Linked DNA regions of Drosophila melanogaster. The protein of the gene in region 2 interacts with the protein of the main gene of each other region in a biochemical or structural test. Each region holds a gene or a part of one and is shown on either strand. Other genes may lie near its edges. The genes, in order: mtrm and cort.

The links.
Region 1: the proteins of cort (region 2) and mtrm form a complex in vitro, tested with the Drosophila melanogaster proteins (one study listed by BioGRID).

The regions. Positions count from the first base shown.
Region 1 is NT_037436.4:8,410,875-8,414,707, reverse strand, and holds mtrm (matrimony), read right to left. Parts: upstream 1,697-3,833; 5' UTR 1,634-1,696; coding exon 980-1,633; 3' UTR 605-979; downstream 1-604. Other genes in the region: Exo70 (exocyst 70), read right to left, coding at 1-363, 426-490, 1,899-2,410, 2,481-2,646, 2,700-2,747; Oseg1 (outer segment 1), read left to right, coding at 3,215-3,279, 3,363-3,593, 3,665-3,833. UniProt on the Drosophila melanogaster protein: Polo kinase inhibitor required to maintain G2 arrest in the meiotic cell cycle in females. Holds heterochromatically paired homologs together from the end of pachytene until metaphase I.
Region 2 is NT_033779.5:6,674,062-6,678,646, forward strand, and holds cort (cortex), read right to left. Parts: upstream 2,575-4,585; 5' UTR 2,490-2,574; coding exon 2,370-2,489; intron 2,311-2,369; coding exon 2,179-2,310; intron 2,114-2,178; coding exon 1,699-2,113; intron 1,641-1,698; coding exon 1,269-1,640; intron 1,211-1,268; coding exon 1,061-1,210; intron 1,002-1,060; coding exon 739-1,001; 3' UTR 621-738; downstream 1-620. Other genes in the region: cup, read left to right, coding at 240-253; CG34310 (uncharacterized protein), read left to right, coding at 1-167, 245-464; Nse1 (Non-SMC element 1), read right to left, coding at 2,780-3,487.

The DNA.
Region 1 (3,833 bases), on a different chromosome or scaffold from region 2:
AGGGCGGAGAATATTCCCAACGCCGAGGTCCACTCCTTGCGGGAAATGCAGCGCAGGATGCGTTGCGTAATGGCCTCAGCGTCCTTAACCACCAGATCGATGGCATTATAGGCCAAGGTGGCGAATACCTCGTTGTGTTTCGACTGGGGAATAATGTCGATCATGATGGCTCGCTCCCAGTTAAGTAACCGCTGCAGTCCCAGCAACATGACCAGATACTTGTCCAGTTCCTGATCGCCATCCATCAAATCCTCGGAGGTCAGGTGGTCGCTGTGCGATGATGCCTTCTTAATGGAGAACCCTGTGGACTGCTCAATCGTCTGCGTCGCGCGTAAATATAACTTGTTCGCCTTCTTTTCGAATCTATGCAGAATAAATTAAATATATCATATACGAAAACTTGGAAATTAAGTAATATTTCTCACATTTGCTGAAGACGAGCGGAGGTTGTCTTTTTTGGCTCCGTTTGGCGTCCACTGTGTCGCGGTCTCTGCAAGAAAACATTTTAAAAACATTAATTTGAATTGTTAATTGCCATTGCATTAATGTTTCTTCGGAATAATTAAGGTACTAAAATGGTAGCAAATTAAAAACTCTTATTTTTGTAACCTTTTAATATGCATTTGATTCTTATGAGTTTATTAATTTTAAAAATGTGTGTTTTACAAAAGCGTTTATACCCCAATTTTTTTTTTTTTTTTTGACAAAAAGTATTATGCAATTTGCTAGCTTACGAAATAAATTTAAATTTGTAAATGAGCTTCGGAGCAACATTTTAGGAATTACATAGATTCTTAAAGTGTACTAGAGTTTATTATTTAAGGCTAAAAACGACGAGCTTTAAGACACCAGGTCTTTTACAATAATTCTAGAATACCTACTTAATTATCCACATATATTAAAATCACAAAGTTTCTCTTCACATAAAACATTTTAAAATCTTAGTGTATGATAAAAGATGGACATGCCAGCGATTCACTTAAAGAGTGTGGAGCACATCCATGATACGGTTGCAATCCTCATCGGTATTTAGGCCGATTTTAACAAGATCAGCACGCTCCAAGGATGCCAGTTCCACCAGATCGATGTGAGCCTCTTCGAAATTGGTCACATAGTTCTCCAGGCCCATGTGCATGAGAATCTGTTCCACATTGGCGGCATGGTTAACCACGTACGAGTGGTTCGATGCTTTGATGGAACGACGACGCGACTCCAAGGCCAGTGAGGTCTCCATATTCGAGTCATCCGAACAGGTATCCGGGCTGCTGCAGCTCTTTATTTCTCGCTCCGGCTCGATGATCTCCTCCTGCGGCTTGGGCAGCACGAATGGCGGGGGCTTAAGCTGAGTGCGATGGCAGTGCTGATGCTGCTGCTGCTGCTGCTGCTTGGGATGCACCTTCGTTGGCACTTTCTTGAAGGTAGCGAACCGCATGGGCGACACTGGACTCTTCCCCTTCGTGCCCATATTCTCGATGGGCGAGAGATTGGGCGAACGGAAGTTGCCAAAGATCGGAGTAGAGCATCGCACGTTGGAGGTGTTCACCTTCAGGGTGTTCCATCTGCGCTCCTTTAGCGTTGGCGTGCGATTAAGCGTAATTTTGGTCTTGTTCGTGGGCGTGCGAGAATTCTCCATTTTTTTTAGATACTGTGACACAGAAAATGATGCGTTCTTTGCGAATTCAAGCTGGCAAATGGCGGTCATCGAATTGGACATGTAATGCTTACATGCACAAGCTTTTTCGAACAGACACCGTTAACCGAAACGATCAGAGATGGGAAAAGCATACATATGCTCATCATCGTACACATCGCTATTCATATTCTACTACGTACTATTTTTCTCCACATAATATATATGTATTAATACTAGTTAGAATATGAAAGAACTGTTTACTCACCAGAGCCTCGTGACCCCAACTGTTGCTCTTTTGGTGATCCTTGAGCAGCTGCAGCGATCGGAGAACCACTTCGCCCCGTTCCGTCGCGTAGATGTTTGTGTACTCCCTTAAATTTTGCTCCAACCAGTGCGATATGGTGTACAGCTCCTCGCGCGTCGTTTGCGAAAGCTGCCGGAATGAGGTGTATTCATCGCTGGAATCGTCCTCTATGTAGATAAGATCCAGCAACTCCACCGGCTTCAGCGGAGCACTGTGCTTCTTGAGGAGCATACTATAGTGCTGACTCAGGCCTTCGCAGCCGGTGTTAAACAAACTGGTGACATTCTCCAGCTCCACGCTCTGGGAATTGTTGTGCCGGAAGTAATCGTTGGCATCGCGCAGTTTGGCTAGTGCGTCGAGGAACACCGAGATGTTTCCCTCCACCGGGCCTTGATGAATCAACTGGCAGACCTCTTGGGAGACATCGTAGTGGGACAGGACGCTTTCCAGACAATTGAGAGTAGCTTCCAGATCTAAAAAAAAAAAGAGGCGGTGACACATTAGTTTTTTTTTTTTGAAATCCCATTGAGTTTATTTTCATACTCTGCTGCCGTTTCTGGAGCTGCTCCGTCTCCTGGTAGACGGGCAATATGGTCTGCTCCAGGTTTCCCAGGCGCTTCTCGAAGATTGTTAGAATACTGGACATTTGCGTGGACAGATCATGGTATTTATCCACTCGATCTTTCAGCAGAGCTAAATTGGTGGCTTCCTATGAGGAAAATGGGTAAGTATGGAGGTTTTGAGCATGACAACTAGACATACCTTCTCCAATTTATTGTGCGCCTGCAATGAACTGTCCAAATTGTTCATTTTCAAGCGTATATGTAGCTAAAATCCTTTAAAAACAAACAATAGTTCTGATATAAAAAACAATTCTATTTTATTTTGTTTTGACGAAACTAGGCATTTATGCACACTGGCTTTGGTCATACTGTCAATTACCGCGTTGCCAACTACTTTGCACGAAAAAAAAAATTATAACGGTCATTTCAGATAGTAATAGAAACTTTTTTTAAATATTGTACACTTAGACAATTAGGTAAACGATAATGAGGCTATGTTTTAAATAAATTGTTTTTACTACTAGTACTAGTTTATTAGTCAAGTCCTAGTTTTAAAAGCCAAAACTAACGGAAAAACCCGCCAAACTGCCATCTCCAGCCAAGACGCCAACTTTTGTTGTGGTTGGTTGCCATGGAATCTGTGTGTAAACAACGCACCTGCATTTAGGAATTTCTACCAACTATGCAGGATTAGCCAATTCGACTTCTGCAACAATGAGGGGTGTTCTCAAGTGGCTGGAACGCATAGAGTTTCCCAATAGCAAAGACAATGAGATCAGGTAAAGCTTTCTCATTCGTGGAAAACAACAACCTGTTGCTTGCTATAACGCCATAACGGTATTTGCAAAACCCAATTTTCCAGTGTCCACAATGTGTGCTACGCACCCGATGGCAGCCAATTGGTGGTGGCTGCGGGGGATCGGTTGCTCATCTACGATCCAAACGATGGCTCCTTGCTGAACACCTTGAAGGCGCACAAGGATACGGTCAATTGTGTGGCCTACTCGCGGGATGGCAAGCGGTTCGCCAGCGGAGCCTCCGATAAAATGGTCATCGTGTGGTCACCTCAGCTTGAGGGACTGCTCAAGTATTCGTGAGTTCTCAGCACACTTGCAATAAATTCTAGTTTTTTATATAAATATAAAAATATATTTACATTCATAGGCACGGTGACTCCATACAGTGCATGAGCTTCAATCCTGTTTCGCACCACCTGGCCTCGTGCTCCTTGTCGGATTTTGCCTTTTGGTCGGCTGATCAGAAGGCGGTGCAAAAGTACAAGATATCCGCGCGTGTCAATGGCTGCTCGTGGACCAATGATGGACAGTACCTG
Region 2 (4,585 bases):
CAAATTCGTCGTCCGCGTGGTGTCACTGTTCCGCAATTGATGGTGGTCACGGCCATTGGGCTGCTAGGCGGTATTTACATTTGGCAACCGCTGATTTTGAAGTACAAAAACGAGAAGAAAACCGAGGCAGAAACGCCAGCAGTAACTGAAACTAGTGGAACCACAAAGTTAGCCCGCACACTAAACCCTAATCTGCTGGCTAAAGTCATATATTAATTGAATTCCGTTCTCGCCCACAGATGAGTTTCATTAACGGCTTCAAAAGATTCGCCACAACGACGGTTGGTCTGATGGCCATCGGTATTGGATCGACTGTTATATTCTACACCACCCATCGCCTTGTCATCAAACCCTATCTTCTCGAGAAACGACGCCTGGAAGCCGAGGCCAGTGCGGAGTACCTCTTCCAGCAGGAGGTTCACTCCCAGATTGGCGAGTCAAGACCCAAACGGAGCGAATATTGAGCCAAGGCTGCCAGTGCCGTCATAGACATCTTTACATACTTATAGCCTAGTGATTAGTTACCAAATTTCAACGCTGTAACATGGTGAACAATGAATGGACTTTTACTTTCTTACCTTCACTTTGGGTGGAGAGGCCCATCTTCTTGTGTTCATTTTAGAGTTAAACAGAATGGATTTTTTATGAAAGTAATATGAATTGAATAAATAATGAAAAGCACAAATGGTTTGAATAAAAGACTAGAAACATAAACAATTAAAAATCACTGTGCTCTGTTCACCGTATGCCTTTGTACAGGCTCAGGGAGCTGCACTTGTCCTTGGCCTTTTGCTCTTGCTTTCTCAATATCGCCTCGCGCTTATAGGTGGGAAAGAAGTTCCACAGCGAAAAGGTGTCGTCCAGTCCGCCGGTGGCAATTTTCGTTCCATCCGGATTCCACATCAGGAAGAGGGTGCCGCGATCCTGATGGGACATCAAGTCAACCACGCGGTTTAAGGAGGCCAAGACCAGAATTTCGCACACTGCAAGGTCCGCATCATCTGTAGATATTAGAATACATTATTTTTAGCAAGCATTAAGGATCCAGTGCAGTTCTCACCACGCCGAATAACGTTGACCAGCAACTCGCCCGTGATTTTGCTGTATGTTAGTGTCTTTATAACGATTCTGTCATCCCTGCGCCTGTACGAAGCCACAAATTGTCGGCGCGGGATGTTGAATATGAAGATCGACGCAGGGCTTCGCTCCGCTGTTAAGATAATATTCATGTTGCAGATACTCTAATAATTAATCTGCCACTATCTTACCAACGGCTAAATCCTCTCCAGTCCACGGATGCCAGTCAAAGACTATGGACCTGCCGTCCAACTTGAGCAGGCGAACCTTTAGCACCGCATCGAAGATGAAAATCTTGCCATCCGTATCACTGGATGCGAAATACTTATGGGTGGGAGCAAACTTCATTTTCTTCACCGTGTGTCGATGCTCGCGCAACTGCATCAGGGTGTTTAGCGTGGGCATGGCCAGCACGATGATGACGCCGCACTGAGTGCCGCAGATGACCTCTTTGCCGTCGTGGGACCACTCAATGCAACTTATGTAGCCCATGGACTTGAAGAACAGCTTGCGGTAGGAGACCAAGAACTCCGTAGGCGACCTCACCTCCCAGAGGTCCAGAACTTGTACGAAAGAGGAGGGTTAGGGCTTTACAAAGTTATTGCTTAGGGTCTGTTATACCTGGATAGTTTCTATCCATGCAGCCGATTGCCAGGTGCTTGCCATCCGGCGAGTACTTGAGGGAAGTGGGCGACTCGACGCTGAAGACCATGGTGCTCTCGTCCAGATTGCGCCACAGCATGACATCCTGTCCGGAGGACATGGCCACCATGCCGCCGGACGACCAGTCCATCATGTTGTAGTCGACGGGACTGCATATGCCAGGCATCTCATGGGTGGCATTCTGAATGGCATATGGTCGCGCCCGTGGATTACATGGCCAGTCCGAATCGGCGGAGTCGTTATCGACCACCCTGGATCTTGTGCCCTGCTGGCTGCTAAACTGAAACAGGCGGCGCTCTCCGATGCCAAAGGTTCGGTTGATGTTCGATATGAAGCCGCTCTGTCGCCAGTAGCTGGCGGTCAAAGTGACACCCTGATTGTAAAAGTCATTTTCAATTAATAATGGAAAGTATATATAGCCAGAAGTACTGCACACACCGTTTCGAGGATATCTCGCTCCTTCCGCTTGCCAATGTACTTCAGGTTGAACTCGATGTTCTCCCGCTCAAATCGGTTGGGTATGAATCTTTCGCCGACATAGGACACCTCCTGCCCCTTGCTCGTATCACTCTGCGCGAAAAGAAAACTACGTTTAGGTGGTCAAATTGTTTTGAGGCCCATCATCTTACCTTGTAGGCCGCCTCCTGTTTCCAGTTTTTCCGCCGCACCTTTTTGAAGGGCGTCAGAGACTTTTTGTCCAGCTTGGAATTTTTATTGGGACTGTCACACACACTCATCTCGACGAACATTGAAACATTTCTGTTTTGCTAGCGCCATATTAAATTGGCAACGGATCAAAAAAAACTTACAGTTACAAGTACAGTGAACACTCGATAGGAGTGCATTTGGTCTTCTTTAATGTTTGCCATTTAAAGTGTGGAGTTTATACTTCTCGATGCTTTACATGAAGATGTTTTAAAATTCAAGTTAAGATGTTGCTTTAAATTATTTATTTTCTACCTTGAAATCATTTAGTTAATAAAGCGGACTACTGTTATTCTAGTATCAAAATCTATAGTACATGTCGCGGACATAATGATTAACCAATGGAGCGTCTTATTGGAGTTGTCCATAGGTTGCCGCAGGAGGGGCAAATATCGCGTCTCTGCAAGTAGGTTTGGATGCACCCGCGGTGGTACTGGATGTTGCAGGACCCGCAGCGAATGTCCCACAACACCAGGCACTTGCACAGCGTGCAGTTTTTTATGTTATCGGCGTGGTTCGAGCTCAAATAGAAACTGAGCTCGACGAGGCTACGTGGACCTAGGTAGATTCTGTCGGTCACCTCCATGAAGTAGCCCATTTGGATCCACTTCTGGAGCAGCTCCTGCATGCGGCTCTTCTTCAACGGCTTCGAGCTGGCCTGTAGGACGATATCATTGTAGGCGTCATTCCAGGCGATGTGGCAGTCCTCCTCGGAGGCGATCTTGTCCAGCAGTTTCGAAAAGTACTGACACTCCTCGGCAGTGAGCCCGGTGTTGGCCACGCTGTCCGGCGTAGCGTCCGTCTTGGCGTAAACCAGGTACTCCTCGGCCTTGACCGGATACTTGATGAAGACCAGCAACTGGCCCAAGTCGCTGATGGTGTCATTAATCTCCGCCACCAGTGCCCTAATCGCCTCCTTGCTGCCGGGCTTTGTAGTCTTGTGGTTGGCACATAGCGGGGCCAGGATATCATCGATCAGCTCGAAGCTGAGGTAGCTGTGGTTCTTGCACGCACGCAGGAACCCGCGTTTCACCAACTCCATTGCCAATGACTGAATATGTTTCAAAACAAATCCAAATATACACAATTCGATTCCGAAGCGCGCCGTTGCAGTGTGCCCAGCTATGCTGACGGGCGGTCAACTTCGGTCACACTATTTTTAAAAATCAATCGATGTTTTTTCAGATCTCCGATTTTAAAATCACTCGCACTATTTTTTGGCTTAATGAAGTTTAAATTTATCATACTTTCGGTGCCCCTAAAAAGAAATGCCCATCTATAATTCCTTTCTTTCTGCTTTGTTTCCATTAAAAAATTTAGCAATTATTAATTTTTTATTTATTTATTTTGGTTTTGACTTAAAAATTAACAGCACAACAATTAATATTTTCAGAGAGCTTCGCTTTGTTTTAAATACAGCGTATATATAGTAAGAAATAGGAGGGTCCTAGGTAATATCGGAAAATGTTATAGATCAGCAAGTGAATCAGCTTTGAAACTTAAAAACTAAACCGAATACAATTAGTCCGTTTTCGAAACGATATATTTACACTAACTGGCTTAGAACGAAAAAGCTATAAGTTTATGTTGTGTAAAATACATCAAAAATGAAATAGTATATGTTTGCCTGCGCCTGTGCCTTATAACTTTTTCCCGTAAAATCCTAAGAGCCGGATTCTCGTCGACACCGGACTTTGGACATGCTCCAGAATCTCCATCTGAATATAATATGGTTTGTGGTTTTCGGGCGATTACAATATACATGTTAGCACATTTTTCGATGTCGAATAGATAAGAAGAAGGAAATATGTCCATAAGTATGCGATTAAACTTTTGCTAGGCCATTCAATTTGGCTTGTGTATATATATATATATTTATGTATTTAGGAAAAACTAGGTAAATTGCAGAGGCAAGTTCTAAAAATAATAGAATCAAAGAGGCTATATATGCATGTAATTTATCGTGTTATAAGGTATGGTACTAGTGTACGTTAGCTCGATGATAGAAATCATTTTTATAGCTTCTGTGCCCTTACTGATCTTAAATAGTTGCACAACAACTTTCAGATTTGTGTTTATTACTAGAGTTCCGAATCACATTTCCATAAACAAGGATAAACTGAAAAGTAATATTCTAATT